Linked DNA regions of Lepisosteus oculatus. The protein of the gene in region 1 binds, or shares a complex with, the protein of each later gene. Links are inferred from orthologs where the notes say so. Each region holds a gene or a part of one and is shown on either strand. Other genes may lie near its edges.

Evidence for each region. Proteins that work in one complex are often made in the same cells at the same time.
Region 2: the proteins of cnnm2b (region 1) and ptp4a1 are in contact, whole or in part, in a crystal structure (PDB 5MMZ), measured with the Mus musculus proteins. The link is inferred for Lepisosteus oculatus from reciprocal best matches to the Homo sapiens genes CNNM2 and PTP4A1. Residues at the interface, in NP_291047.2 of Mus musculus: Phe526, Asp528, Val551, Asn553, Glu556, Gly557, Asp558, Pro559, Phe560, Tyr561; in NP_035330.1 of Mus musculus: Asp72, Gly73, Ala74, Gly107, Leu108, Gly109, Arg110, Arg137, Arg138, Gly139, Ala140, Phe141, Asn142, Lys144, Gln145.

Annotation. Positions count from the first base shown.
Region 1 is NC_090699.1:36,009,706-36,017,343, forward strand, and holds the start of cnnm2b (metal transporter CNNM2), read left to right. Parts: upstream 1-4,620; 5' UTR 4,621-4,813; coding exon 4,814-6,296; intron 6,297-7,638.
Region 2 is NC_090712.1:20,374,928-20,382,568, forward strand, and holds the start of ptp4a1 (protein tyrosine phosphatase type IVA 1), read left to right. Parts: upstream 1-4,628; 5' UTR 4,629-5,038; coding exon 5,039-5,143; intron 5,144-5,778; coding exon 5,779-5,871; intron 5,872-7,008; coding exon 7,009-7,139; intron 7,140-7,629; coding exon 7,630-7,641. UniProt on the Homo sapiens protein: Protein tyrosine phosphatase which stimulates progression from G1 into S phase during mitosis. May play a role in the development and maintenance of differentiating epithelial tissues.

The DNA.
Region 1 (7,638 bases):
TGGACATGTACTGTATGAGCTCTGGATTGGCTCATCCACTTAATCCTGTAGCCATCACTTTTGGCACTTTTGGAAAAAGATATGAGACATGTAAAAAGAGCTACAGACAGCAGCTGCTGACACACCCCCCCACCGAAAAATGAGTGTCAAAGCAGTAGAGCCATGTTTACAGTCAAAGTATAACAACACCTTGGAATGAAAGTGTTTCGATTACGGCACAATGCAGTGCAGGCAGGACTGCCCTCTGCTTGCCACAGCAGCTCCCTTCAGTGACCAGTGCATCAGGCCGGCACAGGCTCTCTTCGGTGTCTGTCTCCTGCTGTGCACTGCAGCTCTCCTGTGCGTGCCTTAGCTCTGCAGGACACAAGCTCATCTCCGAGGCCAGGTATGATGTTTCCATCTCTCTCATGTCCACCCGGCCAGCCTGAATGTATCATCTGGACACTGCGGAACAAATAGAAGGGAGAAATAACTAATGAGTCTGTTCCTGTATCCAAAGGCTATGTTGTGACTTGTGATTGTAAACATCTAGAATTTAGAATGTTGTTTTTGACAAGGACTAAGATCATGTATTGTGCTGCATTTTCAATCTTTTGCCACCGAAATGTAAATTGTTACACTTCAGTCTGAAATATGATTCTCTAAGCAACCAAGTTTGTGAAAAAGATGTCGGCTTGGCTAAGTGTCACCAGTTGAAGATAATTGTAACACAGCATGCACACCTTAATTGCATGACCTTAGGTTCATGTTCAGTAAAGAAAAAAAAGTTGTTGTTTTTTTAAATCAGATTTGCCCCAGCAAAGCAAGTTCCAGAAAATAGATTGTTTTATGTTTTTTACTTCTGTGGTTTTTAATTTTTACTTCAGTTTCATTCTGGTAATGGTAAATGTTTTCTGTCTGTGTAGTCAAGGACTTGAATTGTCATAAGGGGAAAGTGCTCATTTGAAAAAAGTTTGCATGTGTAGCCTTGTATACTGGGGACTAAATTATAAAAACCCACAGAGAGCAGGGTGGGTATACATAATACACATTACCTTGCGTATAAGTTAGGAAAGTTTGCTGTTTTGGTGCCAACTAAAAATATCTTTCTTCAGAGATGTTGTTTCCTGCTTATGTTTAATTTTATATTTAGTGATCACTTGTATCCATTTAATATACAATGTATATTTCACTAAGGGTGCCTCTTAATGTGATCCTTTCCTTCGAATGAACAAACAGAATAATTTTCTATAATTATAAGATTGCATTAATCCTCTGTGCAAAAGGCTGAACTGAACAAGGCAATAAACAATACTCTGCTATATGTGTGTTTTGGTTATTTTTGGCTTAAAACATCCTTTTTATGCATTTCACATTTTATTGGTTCATGATTTTTCCAACACTTTCACTTTCATTGTTTTTCTGTAATGTGGTGAGCAAGTTTGCTTTTGTCACTGATAGATAAGATCACTTTATTGGCCATATACAATTTCTTGTATTATTAATTTGTCTTTTTTTTGGCATACCCCATCTTCCTCTCCATGAAACACACAGTCGGGGACAGAAGCTTGGGGTCAGAGCACAGGGTCAGCCATTTATATGGCACTCCTGGAGCACTTGGGGTTAAGTGCCTTGCTCAGGGGCCCAACAGAGTAGGATTCCTCTGCCGGCTGCAGGATTTGAACCGGCAACCTTTCAGCCACAGGCGCAGATCCTCAGCCACAGAGCCACCACGCCAATGCTTCCATCCGCTCTGCGTGTTCAGTGATGTTCAGTCTGTACTTCAGAAACCCCAGCCCTTCTATGACAACCGAGAGAAACTGAACCCCCCTTAAAGACTTAATTTTTACGTTAATTATAATACAGTATTCAATAATTAATGCCTTTTCTAAATATAGGCCAGAGTGTCTATGCAGTACTACCATTTGTCACAAGAGGGCGAAAATGGCACACGACAATTTGCCATTAAAACCTGTTTGTCAAACCATTGAGAAAAGATCCGTTTCTGGACTTTCTTTTTTCAACAGAGCAGTGGAATGTTCTAGACTGCAGAGCGGATGGAAGCATGTTGTCTGTTATACAAAAGGTAGTGGGAGCTTGGGCCCTGGCTCAATACCTAGGGTGCTGTCTGCGTGGAGTTTGTGTGTTGTCTCCTGGTTTGTGTAGTTTCCTCTAGGTGCTCCAGTTTCGTCTCCCAGTTCAAAAACTGTTGCTGGACAGAATAGGCTTCAGCTCCAGCTGTCCCCAAACACTATAATGGCTACATCAGTTAGAAAATGGATGGATGGACATCCAGGTTTACAAAGATATTAGAGATTTTTGTACTAACCAGTTTTCTTCATACACTCTTTTAACTTCAAGCAACTTTTTCCCTCAGTGTACTGGATTACCTCCTCCTAAGTTATGGCCGCAGGACATCCCTTCAAAGGTATATATTTTATCCTGTTTAAAAATAAACTCACTTCTTGATGCAGTTTTCCTCTGTTTCTCTTTTTCCTTTACTAGTGATTTGATGAGTTCTTCGTTTTTTGCGGGAGGAATCTCAAAAAGAATTTTTTGGTAAAAATATTGATTCTAATATATATATTTTAATTTAAATTACTTTAAATGTAGACGTATAAGCTATTTTTAATTGCTTGATTATTCTTTTGGCCTCTGCAGAAATAGAATCACGCACATTGAGAACATGTGCGAAGAGGACTCTAAAATAAAGCTGCAGGACATGTTAAAACTTACAAATACCTGCGCTATTTAAAAAAAAACGTTTATAGACAAACTACAAAACGGTTTGAGGGTGATTGATTCCATAAAACCCTTTGAAATGGCACAACTCGGGGCTGCTTCGGGTCAGAGTGGTGAGGAATTTGTTGCTACACGTGCTGCTCATGCCATCGCCACGCCCCGTGTTATCTTTGACACGCCCCCTCAGCGCCGCAGTTCGGAGGCCACGCCCCTGGGTCTCCGCCAGCGTCCCCTTCACACGTTTGGGGAAGTTTCGCTTCTCAGAGGAAGATTTAAGATATCTAATCTGATCTATTTCAGTGTTCGCTGATATGTTTATAAAAAGGAATTTGTTGTGCTATTTATACTGGATTTTAATGTTCTGTTGCTTACATATAAGGCACTGAACGGTCTCGCTCAAGGTTACTTTAGGACTTTTATTGCTTGAGTATAGTCCAACACTTGATCTGAGATGTGCTGATTCAGGTCTTCCTTTTTTTACTTGCGGCCAGGCTCACACGATGAAAGCCAGAGCACCACGATTTTAAAACTCACTGCCAAAAATCGGAGACTATGTATCCGTTGCTTTTTTTTACTAAACTTTTCATGTATGATTTTACTTTTGGTATTATTTGGTCAATTTACTGAGTGATTGTTTACTGACGTGGTGTTTTATGCGTGTACACTCGTGCAGCGCTTTTTTTATAACACTTCTAACTATAGCATTAACTCGTTTTTTCATGTTTTATTTTAGAATTTGCTTTGAAAGATAGCCTAAACCTCAGACAGTTCAATGTGTTATTAAAATACAGATGCCTGGATTATCCCAGGCGGTTGATGTTTTGTTTTTATGAGTGTTGCTCACGGACGTTTGAATTAGTGCATTGTTATTAAATTGTTTGATGATTAACTAATCAATAAAATACAAAGATAAAGGCACCTGTGTTTAATATCTACAAAGATTACAAAGTAATATTCCGCACCTTCTTTAAAGCTGTAGCTGAACCCAAGATACTAGGATCCTTAACGTCTAAAGCGTAGGTTTGAACATTTTGTTTAGACAACCACTACTACTTATCAAGATGTTGATTTCTTTTCTTTTTTTACTTAGAAACGTTTTATGTAATCGGCGTTTGGTATGCTACGTGACGTCCGGTAGTCGGTGTGTTACCGGTAGTAATATTACCATTCACCTACATTACTCTCAGAATTACAGCAGTTTAGGTATTTTGGATGTCAAGGTGACCGAAAGATGTACAATATGTGTTATGTTTACCGACTGCCGAAAGGAAAAACGAAGGGATTACGTCAGTTTACTATTCCCTTATGAAACTGGAAGAAAGAACAGGTACAGATTTATGCGAACATTAAACACATGAATAAAACAAAACACAACCAACTGCTCTTAACGTAGACGGTGAGATGCTTAACAGCAAAAACACACACGTCGTTACTGATGGCCTTTTTTCTTCCTAGCTTTCAAGGGGATTTCATTGAAGTTATGTATTAGGTCATCACACATCTTTGCAGAAAGAACTAGCATGAAGCTTCATTATTGTGAAAAGTCACAGTAAAACTACTCTCAATTTAAAACGGCTCTAAAGCCCTTATTTATCATAATTGCACCTGTTATCCACCTGCAGTCTCACGCCTGTCTCATTGACGGATGTTTCAGGAAGTGGGCAGGAACAACACCTTCATTGGTTGCCGAGATCCCCTCCCCTTCATCAGACCTACCCCCTCCTACACCTTATTTGCTGCCTTCAACCCTCCGTCAAAATAAGTCACGAGGACGGCCCTGGGCAGTAACTCCGCCCCCATATGTTTGTTTTCTTTTCTTATTGGCTTTTGCCTCGGAAAACACCCCGCCTCCTTATAAAATCGGTAGTTGATTGGGTGCGGGGGCCGCCCGTCTTTGGGCATCACGAGGAACACGAGTTCATACTGTGCTTGCTCCGCTGTGTTGTTGGTCAGAGGAGCTGGAGACGCGTGGTGGGAGCAGACAGGTCTGATGCATGAGTCAAGGAAACCCGCAGAGGAGATGAAGGCGGACTCCGATTGGCTGTGATTTTTAAAAGCCCTCTTCTTTTAAAAGCGGTTGCCCACAATCAAGATGGCAGAGCGCTCGGCCACAGTGCCCACTTTAAAGATGGCGGCGCTCAGCCGGGTCCGAGTTCTGGCTCTGGTATTCTTTACAGTCAGCGGCTGTTTGGTGAGCTTGTCCAGCGGCGAGGAAGGGGCAGAAGAGACGGTTATCATTGGGCTCAGACTAGAAGACACAGACGACGTTTCCTTTATGGACGGGGGGTCCCTGCGGGTCAGCGAAAGGACCCGGGTCAAGCTGAGAGTCTATGGGCAAAACATTAACAACGAGACGTGGTCCAAAATCGCCTTTACAGAGCATGAGCGGAGCAAAGTCGTTGGCAACATTGACAGCACCACTAGGGATAATAAGAGCAAAGAGGATACCTCAAGCTATCATCCCTGTGGCATTAGGACTTCGGATATTATAATTTTGCCCAATATTGTCTTAAATAGAAAGACTTCTGGCATAGTGGAAATTGAAATTAAGCCTCTGCGGAAAACGGAGAAGAGCAAAGCCTACTACTTGTGCATTGCCATGCCAACACCTGCTGTGTCTGGCGTGCACGACCCATGGACTGAGACCACCTGGATCTACCATGACGGAGAGGACACGAAAGTGATAGTGGTGGAGGAGAGGAAGTTCTTGCTGCCCTTTTGGCTGCAGGTCATTTTCATCTCGCTGCTGCTCTGTCTCTCGGGCATGTTCAGTGGGCTGAACCTGGGACTGATGGCGCTGGACCCCATGGAACTACGCATCGTCCAGAACTGCGGCACGGAGAAGGAGAAGAACTACGCCAAGAAAATCGAGCCGGTCCGGAGTCAAGGGAACTACCTGCTCTGCTCGCTGCTCCTGGGGAACGTGCTTGTGAACACCACCCTGACCATTCTGTTGGATGACATCGCAGGCTCGGGGTTGATAGCTGTGGTGGTGTCCACCATCGGGATCGTGATCTTTGGCGAAATTGTGCCCCAGGCGATCTGCTCCCGGCACGGTCTGGCTGTAGGTGCGAACACCATCTTTCTGACCAAATTTTTCATGCTGCTCACTTTTCCTGCGTCGTACCCCGTGAGCAAACTCTTGGACTGCGTCTTGGGGCAGGAGATTGGCACGGTGTACAACAGGGAGAAGCTCCTGGAGATGCTGAGGGTCACAGATCCCTACAATGACCTGGTCAAAGAGGAGCTCAACATCATCCAGGGCGCCCTGGAGCTCAGGACTAAGACCGTGGAAGATGTCATGACTCCCCTGCGCGACTGCTTCATGATCACCGCCGACGCCATCCTCGACTTCAACACCATGTCTGAGATCATGGAGAGTGGGTACACTCGGATCCCCGTCTACGAAGGGGAGAGATCTAACATTGTGGACCTTCTGTTCGTTAAGGACTTGGCCTTTGTCGACCCGGACGACAGCACACCATTGAAAACCATCACCAAGTTCTATAGCCATCCCTTGCATTTTGTTTTCAATGACACCAAACTGGATGCCATGCTGGAGGAATTCAAGAAAGGTGGGGCAGTATTTTTTTTCACTCACTTTGTTTACCTCCTTCAGATATTTATTGCATTTTAATGTTTCACCTTGGCAAGGGTTGAGTTGTAACACTTCTAGTGATGAGTGCTCTGATAAAGTGCGCCGAGTCTTTGTCATAACTGAGCGTGAGATTGGCATAGGACATGTCAATGTACAGTTATTTCCCTGATTACCATGGGGAATAAATGCGGTCTGATGATGCGGCTGTCTATAAGGTGTTTTCACAAGTATTTCCGAAAGTAGTTCGGTTTCTGGAAAAAGGTTGGTTCCCGATTTGGAACATCAGACACTTATCGCGATCTACTGTATATCAACCAGGATTCTGTATGAGGTTTTGCTGTTTTTGCACTTCTTGCTTCCCCGGTGTTCAGATGGCAAAGCGCTGCGCATTTTCATGCGGTAAACAAACAACAGTGCATCTTGCATCCTGCCACTCGCAGTCCTGTCGGGAGGGTGAATAAATTATGCCCATTCCCGTCGGGGGTTTGTTTGTTTGTTTGTTTTTGTCTTCATCCGCTCTTGTGGCTTGTGGAAAGTACGTGTGGCGGGTTGCAGGTCGCCAGGTGCTGCAGCGGTGCAGTGCCCCACACGCTGGCTGAGAGGACCGGGCGCAGGCACTGTGGGGGCTGAGCTGCCAGAGGGTACCAGTGCTGCCTGCTCAGCGATTCACGGGCTCATCAGATTGCTGTTTGAGTCCGAGGTGTACCCATCGCATCTACTGTGTTCAAAGGCGAATTGATCCAAACACTTATTACCTGTACGCTACCGCCACGACCCGATATGCACAAATCGCAATCACGCGGACGATGGGATCGTCGTGGATCCAAATCGCATAAAACATATGTATATATTCATCAGTTTCCCTACGGGATCAATAAAGTCTTATCTATCTAAATGTCGCCCAGTTAGATTGAAATTTCGCAGGCCTTATCTAATTTTTCTACGGCGTTTTGCAACTTGATGGCCGCCTGAACGGTTTATTTTATTGCGCAGGTGGCACTGGGGAAAAAAAACCCGTTAATAAAAATCAACTGCACTGATTCTAACCGCTACTGATTTCAAAATAGCATTTTTGAGATCAAACGTAGTTGTTATATTTTCTTTCATTCTCCCGATGAAGCTCCAAACGCCTATTGTATTCTAAAACACGATACACACGTTACACGTGGGCGTTTCAATGAAATATTGTCTAGTATGAGCTATCCATCCAACTTGTTTTTACCTGTAAAACAAATGAAATAATATTATTCCGATGTCAGTGATTTGCAGAAAGGGCAAATGTTTTGTTTGGTTAATGCTTGTTAGTCTTCTACCGTATG
Region 2 (7,641 bases), on another chromosome or scaffold:
AATGAAGAACGTCAGAACCTTACATGTCCTTTTTTCTTTCCTGTTGATATACCTAATTTTTAAGCATTTGTGACCACTTGAACTTGCAGTTATAAGCCTTATATCTGCCCTCATTCTGTTTCCATATCCTTCCCTGACCCTCATTTCCCCCTATTTTCCCATGATCATGCAGCCATTTCTTGAAAGATCCCAGCTCATCTGCTCTAACAACAAGGCTGGGCAGTTTGCATGACATACCTATCCCATAAGACACAGACATTTACAATACCTTGTGAACCTTAAAACTGCCTGTGATGTGAACTGGAACATAAATGATTTTTGGAGTACTACATAAAATATTTTAAGGATTCCTAAACACAGGAAAATGATTCAGATTTTGATTTAAAAAAATGTTGCAGCAGAAACCACAAGACACGATTCTTCATTGGTAAAGATTATAAATAGTATTAACATTTACGGCCTCACAATGCGGATGGGCGGTATTGGTGAACCCTCCTGCTTATTTCCGAGGCCACTTCAAAAAAGCGACAGAGGAATGGAAAGAAGTGAGTGTGTTAAAGGAAACTGAAAATACTGTAGTTAGCAAAACTATGAGAAGCAATACAGATATGTATTTGTGGATATATTTAAAGAATCATATATTATATTCTGTATATTATAGAAAATGATAATGTAAAGGATTATACTAACGATTCTATGTATATTTTTTTGAGAGGATGTTTGAGGTCTTGACGTCTAGGAGCGCTGTTTGAAGACTTGGGTTCGTGACAAGCTTAAGAAAGTGATTCAAACGAATCACAATATATGCAGAATTATGTACCTACATCACTTTAACAGCAGACTATCCCTTGTTAAGAAAGCTTTCTCATAACATGCTATCTCCAAATCTCATTCCAATAAGCCCAGGGGGGAAAAAAATGATATTTTCCGATTGTTGTCCCTATGATAGATAGAACTGTGTGATTACATCCCATTACGGAGGAGAGCTCTAACACCCACCAGTGAATCTGGCAATGGCAGGACTAATTGGATATACTGTTTGCATAAGTTCATCCTGCCCTAGCCACTGAGCGCAGCGGCAATGTCGGGGCTCTGGAGAGGAACGGAGAGGCGTGTGACGCAGAGTCCGGAGCTGCGCTGTCTTCGGCGGGGGTGGGGTGGAGACAAGAGGCGAGATCACTGCCTGCCCAGCACTGACAGCAGCGGAGCAGACGCCGACGCAGTCAGAGACGGTAGCTGTATGGTACAAAACCATTATACCCTTTTCTCTTCTTCCTAGGGACCGGCTTTATGATTAAGCTACAATCTTCAATGAGTAAGCATATCCCTGTAAGTATCCCTCTTTTTTTAATAAAAGATATCTTGTTTTTTTTTCTAGTCCTTATCCTACACTGTGATACAATTTGGCTACATTGTGGCCTCTTTTCTAACTTGCCATTATTCGCCAGCGTGTCTTTCTTAGGGGGAGGGTAAATTCTGTCGGTTACATGTCACACGTTTTTTATGATTTACTTATCGCTGTCAATGTATGAGTGCGTGGTTGCGAATTTAATACTGGTTTCTTGCGCTGGTTGTTAAATGAATGCCGGCGCGGATCGTGAAGGCACGCCTGGGCAAGACCGCCTACTGCATGCCTGGGAACGGGTTCCTAGGGCAATTTCTCATGGTAAACAGTTTAATTTAGCAAATGCTTCAGTAACTGTGTTGCATATGTCGTATGCAACATATGCTGGGTGCTGTTTATTATGCTCATGACGATTTATAAAGACGATTCCGTTTTCAAGACGCATCTTAATCGGAGTCCAGTGATTAGGCCTCAAACGACAGAGGCAGAAATTACAGGCTACACAAAGAGCTGCATTCGCCCGCTCCCTCCCGATGTGTCGGGTTTATGTTAGACCTAAGTGCTTCTATTCTGTACATATCTGGTTTAACCTCACAAAACACGTTTTTATTTTTTTCTGATTCCAAACATGAGAAAATAGCCATTTTCTCCCTTTTACAGCAGGTATGGGGTGGTATACCCGCCCGGTGCAATCGGTTCATTGATTCCCCCCTCTTTTCTCACCCTCGTGTATTTTGTGTGTGTGTGGGGGGGGTTGGGTTAAAAAAAAACATAATCGGCGTGTACAAGTAACATCAGGAAAATAAAACTGAGACATAGAACACTAAGGGAAACAAATCGCGTTCGGGAACATGGTGGCGGACCTGCGCGGCTCCCGACTGGAAGCCTGTTTAATCCAGTTCGGTCTCAGAAGTAGGGCACGGGTTTGCCCTGGATCTCCCGGTTTATCATCGGCGCCGGTGCCCGGTACCGCGGGGGCCAGCAGCCTCTCTCTGTATGTAGGCATTTGAGCCGCGGCGGACGCCTTGAATTTGCCCCGAGAAGGAAATTATTACCACAGTGGGATATGCTACACAGTAGCTAAATTGTACATCAAGTGATGCTTCGGGATACGTTGCGCTACAGCGAGGAGGCGGAGCGGGGGGATTCAAGCAGGAACCTGCTCACAAAATGGCCTTACAGGAACGTGGTCGAAACTGCTAGTGCTGTAAATAATTAGGGCTCCCCTCTGATTTAAGCTTCCTGTTAGTAGCTTATAGGAAAGGGAATGTCGAGTTTTCCGTGGAGGGAAATTTCCGCCAATTCTAAACATTTTATTAGCATTGGATTGTCAAAGTAACACTTGTTTCCACGATAAGGGTGTAGATTTTAAAAAAATACGTTTAGCTTTATCAAATATTAAATATTTAAAGTCGTGGCTTTAAATAAGGAACGCACGGTTAAAAAAATCCTGAAGCGACCCTTTCCGTTTTTACGACTATAACTAACCGGTGCTAGCAGGGAGAGAGAGAGAAAGCAGCTCTTGCGCTGAAATCCGTTGCTCCCTGAGCGGGCGGCCTGGTCCAGTGAAGTGCGCAGCGTCACTTGTGCCACTACAGGTGGACGCCATGAAGTCATCTTGACTCTTAAACCATTTTTTCTTTCATCTGCCAACAGATGTAATCACATGATATTAAGAGTCGCTGCTCAAGGCCTGATTCATATAAAAATGAGCCTTATGTCGAGTGTAGAAAAATGTTTTGCCGTCTCATGACTATGACTCATTGATGCTCATCTGATAGATTCGTTGTGTGAAGTCCCTTTTGATTTGAATGCAGAAGTCTTACCTGCAACCTGTTTCCCCTGAATTAGCTGGACAAAAGTGTTATTCACAGCACAGAGGTGGCTGGCTGATACTTCAAACCTTGCCCATAACTAATATAACTTTTTTTTTTAATGGTGTGCATAGATAATTATTTTTTCTTTCCCAACAGCGTAGGTTAATTTTAAATGTAGCATGGTAGTGTTTTGAGGAAGTGCAGGTGGAGAAAGTGTGACCGGGAAGCATGGCCCAGATGTAACAAGGCAGATGTCTCTCTCAAAGGTTTTTACATAGTGCTCCTCTCTCGGGCTAGGTGCTCGTTCTCTTAGATGTTTTTTCTTTTACAAGTGACGTAGTAATTATCAGTCCTAGAAATATGTACAGCCACATTTCAGATCTTGCACATCAGTTGTTGAAGCGTGGGGCACTATAGTCTGAAACTGTTCCATGTGTTTCGGGAGTATTCACAGGGACTCCTCAATGTGATGCACAGCCAGGAGGTTAAGTGCTCACGAGAATTGTATTAACAGTCCAGCTAATCACTGGCATATTCTGGTCTCTGATTCTGTGGTGCCTTTGCAATAAGTATTGCTAAGCAGTGACTGAAAGAGGTTAGGACTTTAACAGAGGTTTTTAAAGTAGATATGACTTAATGGTTGATACTTGGTTTGTAATGGTAAAGATCCTGTACACTTTACAAATTCTTTTGCTGAAATACAAATGACTTTGTGCAAAATGGTAAAAACAAGTTATTTTAAGGTAAAATATGCACATACTATTCTTGTTACAATTCCATTTTATGTCTGAAACCAAAAAGATTTTTTTAGACAATCATGGCTGAAGAACACATGCTTTACTTCCACGCTTCCCCATCATCCTGAATAGATCTTAATTTGTTTAGATATTTAAGTATTTATCTTCATTTTCTTCCATCTTATTCACCTGTTGGAGGTTAGCCGTACTTCAGTTTGCGTACTTGCAGAAAATGCCAAATGGTCTATAAAATAGTGCATATGAATCATGGTTGTGTGATTCAAGTACTTTTTAAGTGTTCATTTTGTTGAAGGTTTATTACTATGCAACTGGGACATTTAATGACGCAGCACATTGAGAAAAGCACAATAAAGCAAAGCTGAAGACTTGGCTTTTATAGCCACAGGTGTAGATTATGATTTGTTACTTGCAATTCAGCACAGTTTTCTGCCTTCAAAAATGTTTTAAAAAACAACAATCAAAGGAGTTCCAGCTTTTTGATTTGTATTTGCAACAGTTCAGTCAGGATAAATGTCACATTCAACATATCATCTTTAGAAAGTGTTTAGCAGTGGGGTCGGCCAGGGTTCCTGTGAACACGTGTTAACGCTTGTTCTGGTGGTTTCTCTTGCAGCAGTTCTGTGGTGTTCTTGGTCACACATTTATGGAGTTTCTGAAGGGCAGTGGAGACTACTGCCAGGCACAGCACGGAGTCTATGCAGACAAGTGAACTCTAGAAATTCATTACTACTCCACACAGAAACCCCCTTAGGAGCTGAGGCGGCGCTGATAACCTGGATAAGAAGCATTGAATAGTCCCGGCAGAGCACTTGTCTTCACAGAGGAGCTCGAACCTGGATGGGGTAACCTTTGGTGCACTGCCTTCTTTGTTGGCTTCAGTATTACTGGAATCAAGAAGATCTGCTGCTTTTTATTTAGTGATCCATTACCAGCCACCTACCCCCAGCTTATTTTCCTAGACCTCATCTTTGCAGAGGAGAGAATTTCCAGTGGAGTACAGTGAAAGAAAAAAAAGTCTTTTTTCCCATATATCCACGTCAATTTGTATTGGATATTTTTAAGCATTTTTTGTTATTATTGTTGTTCTTTATTAAATTTGTACAAAACCTTTTTTAACAATGGCCCGAATGAATCGCCCTGCCCCTGTGGAAATCAAGTACAAGAACATGAGATTCCTCATCACCCACAACCCCACTAATGCCACTCTGAACAAGTTTATAGAGGTGAGTTCCGCACACCATCAGAAAAATATCTGTGACACCCATGATTTATAGAAAGAAGAACTGTAGCTTTACTCTCCATAATATAAACCAGTGATCCTTTTTCCCATGTATAGATTGAATCCAGTTTTTTTAATGACGTTTATAACACAATTTTGGGAGGGATTATAGCAGCCAATTTCCATCAGCCTTGGCTGTCAGTAATTTGTAATAATTTCCTGACAGTATTGCCTCACCTAAAACATTATAAACACTATGCTTAATCCCCTTCTCCCTTAAATATATTACATTAAATAGATATGATACAATTTTTTACGTTGAATACAGGGGCTTGCTGGAATGTTTGTAATCTGTAGCTCCTCAGTACTTGGTCGTTAAAGATTCCATGGCACTTTTCATAAAAACCTAGCGGTTAAATTCCACTCTTTTTTCCAACATTTTCTTAAAGTTCCCCCTTAATTCGGCTGGTAAAGCAGTTTCTCCTTTCTCCACCTGATCTGTTGTTTGCCTAGTGTCACATAGTGTGTCCTTAAAGTCACCTCTGCTTTAGTACCAGATGAAGTAGGTTCCACTTCTATATGGTATTAAAAATTAGTTTTGACTTGAATGCGATTTTGACTTGTTGCTTTGTTTTAAAGGAACTGAAAAAGTATGGTGTTACCACGGTGGTGAGAGTTTGTGAAGCTACCTATGATACATCTCTGGTGGAAAAGGAAGGCATTCAGGTTTTGGTAAGTGCTGAGCAGGTTCATTTATTGGGAATATCCGGTTCCATTTTCCCACTTGGAATCCATGAGTTCAGGTGAAAAAGATTAGTGGTGGGTCTGAATTAGACCAATGCAACAATTAATCCATTTGTGCTTTATTTCATTTGGTAAAATGAATGGAAACTTCAGAGTGGTGACGAATGTTGGGAGAGGGATAGTTGGTTTGTTAGATTAGACTTGACATTTTCTTTTTCCTCAACACTGCCACGTTTCTATGCAAAAACTATATAATCAAGTTCAAGGTAACTGCAACAGCTGCTTTTAAAATCAATTATTTTGGTTCTCTGTATTTTGTTCTGTTTCAATAATCCTGTTAGAATAACTTTATATTCAGATAAAATGTATCTGAGCATTAAGGTTCAGCTTTGGCTGAAATTCTAGCCTGTTCTCATCAGACATTGGAAGCTAAGCCAAGCTGAACCTGGTCAGTACTGGCTGAGAAACTAAGGAAAATCAAGTTGGTCTTGAAGTGGTGTTGGTGGAAAATCAGAGGTGCTCTTCTTTCCTCACCGAAAAGTGGTGACCAGGAACACGTTAGGAGAGCTGAAGGAGGCGCCATCTTCTGATGAGGTGTTAAGCCAAGGTTTCTTTTTACTCTGTCATTTAAAGATCCCATGACATTCCATGGCCCGGTTGTTGAACTCATTTACCTGTGTGCAGGTGGGGCTCTAGAATTGTGGGTTCAAGCCTGTGGGTGATGTCACTAGCTGACTGCCAGGGGGAGTTTCTTAACAGCGCACTGTGGTGCACAATCGACTGAGTGCTGTCAAGGTTATGGCAGGATTAGTTGACCGGGGTGCGATCACTGCCATCACTGATCTCTGCAGCCTTGTACTTGCTAAAATTTTCTCAGTCTAGCCTAGTTTACCTCAGTTGTTGAAAGTTGTTGCCTCACTTCTTTGCCTAATCTGCTGTGTGGTGGGACTGTTGGCCCATAAGGGCTGCTCTGTGACAACCAGGTCGGAACTGTACTTCAGAGGTCGATGGAACATGTCCCTCATGGATGAGAAGCACTTTAGAATCCTTAGGGGTGAAAAGCACTTTATAAATGTGAGGAATTGGTAGAATTTCATGCTTTTCTGCTCTGAATGTTTTCTACAGGATTGGCCATTTGATGATGGAGCCCCACCTTCCAACCAGATTGTCGATGACTGGCTGAACCTCCTGAGGGCTAAATTCCGTGAGGAGCCTGGCTGTTGCATTGCTGTCCATTGTGTAGCAGGACTTGGCAGGTGTGTTTTGTCTTCATTGTGTTGCTCTTTGAAGAGCAGCCAATATGAAGTAACATTTATTTTGTTACTAATCTTCCATCCACTCTTTTAACATCTCAATTGGCAAAACAAATGACCTGTTCTAAGATGATTCTTCCTTTGGAAAGTTTATTGTAGCTATTGTTTTTATTGGTTCTAAAAAACGGTTTAGTTAATGATAGAGGTGTCATTTACATGTCTTTATTTTACAGAATTTTTTTATATGTTGGCAGCACATAATTTGAGAGTCAGGCTTAAAATCTTAAAAATATACAACACTTTGGTAAATGTTGTTGCATATGTTTGAAACAGTACATGACCCACTTTAATACTGAAGAAATATCAAGTCTTAGCCAATTTGAATTAAGGGGAGGAGTATGTACATTTAATCAATATATTGCAGGCATTTTGCATTATAATTTGGTCAATGAAATGACTTTTTTTTTAATTTCTGTCCAAAATTGCTTTCCAGAGCTCCAGTCCT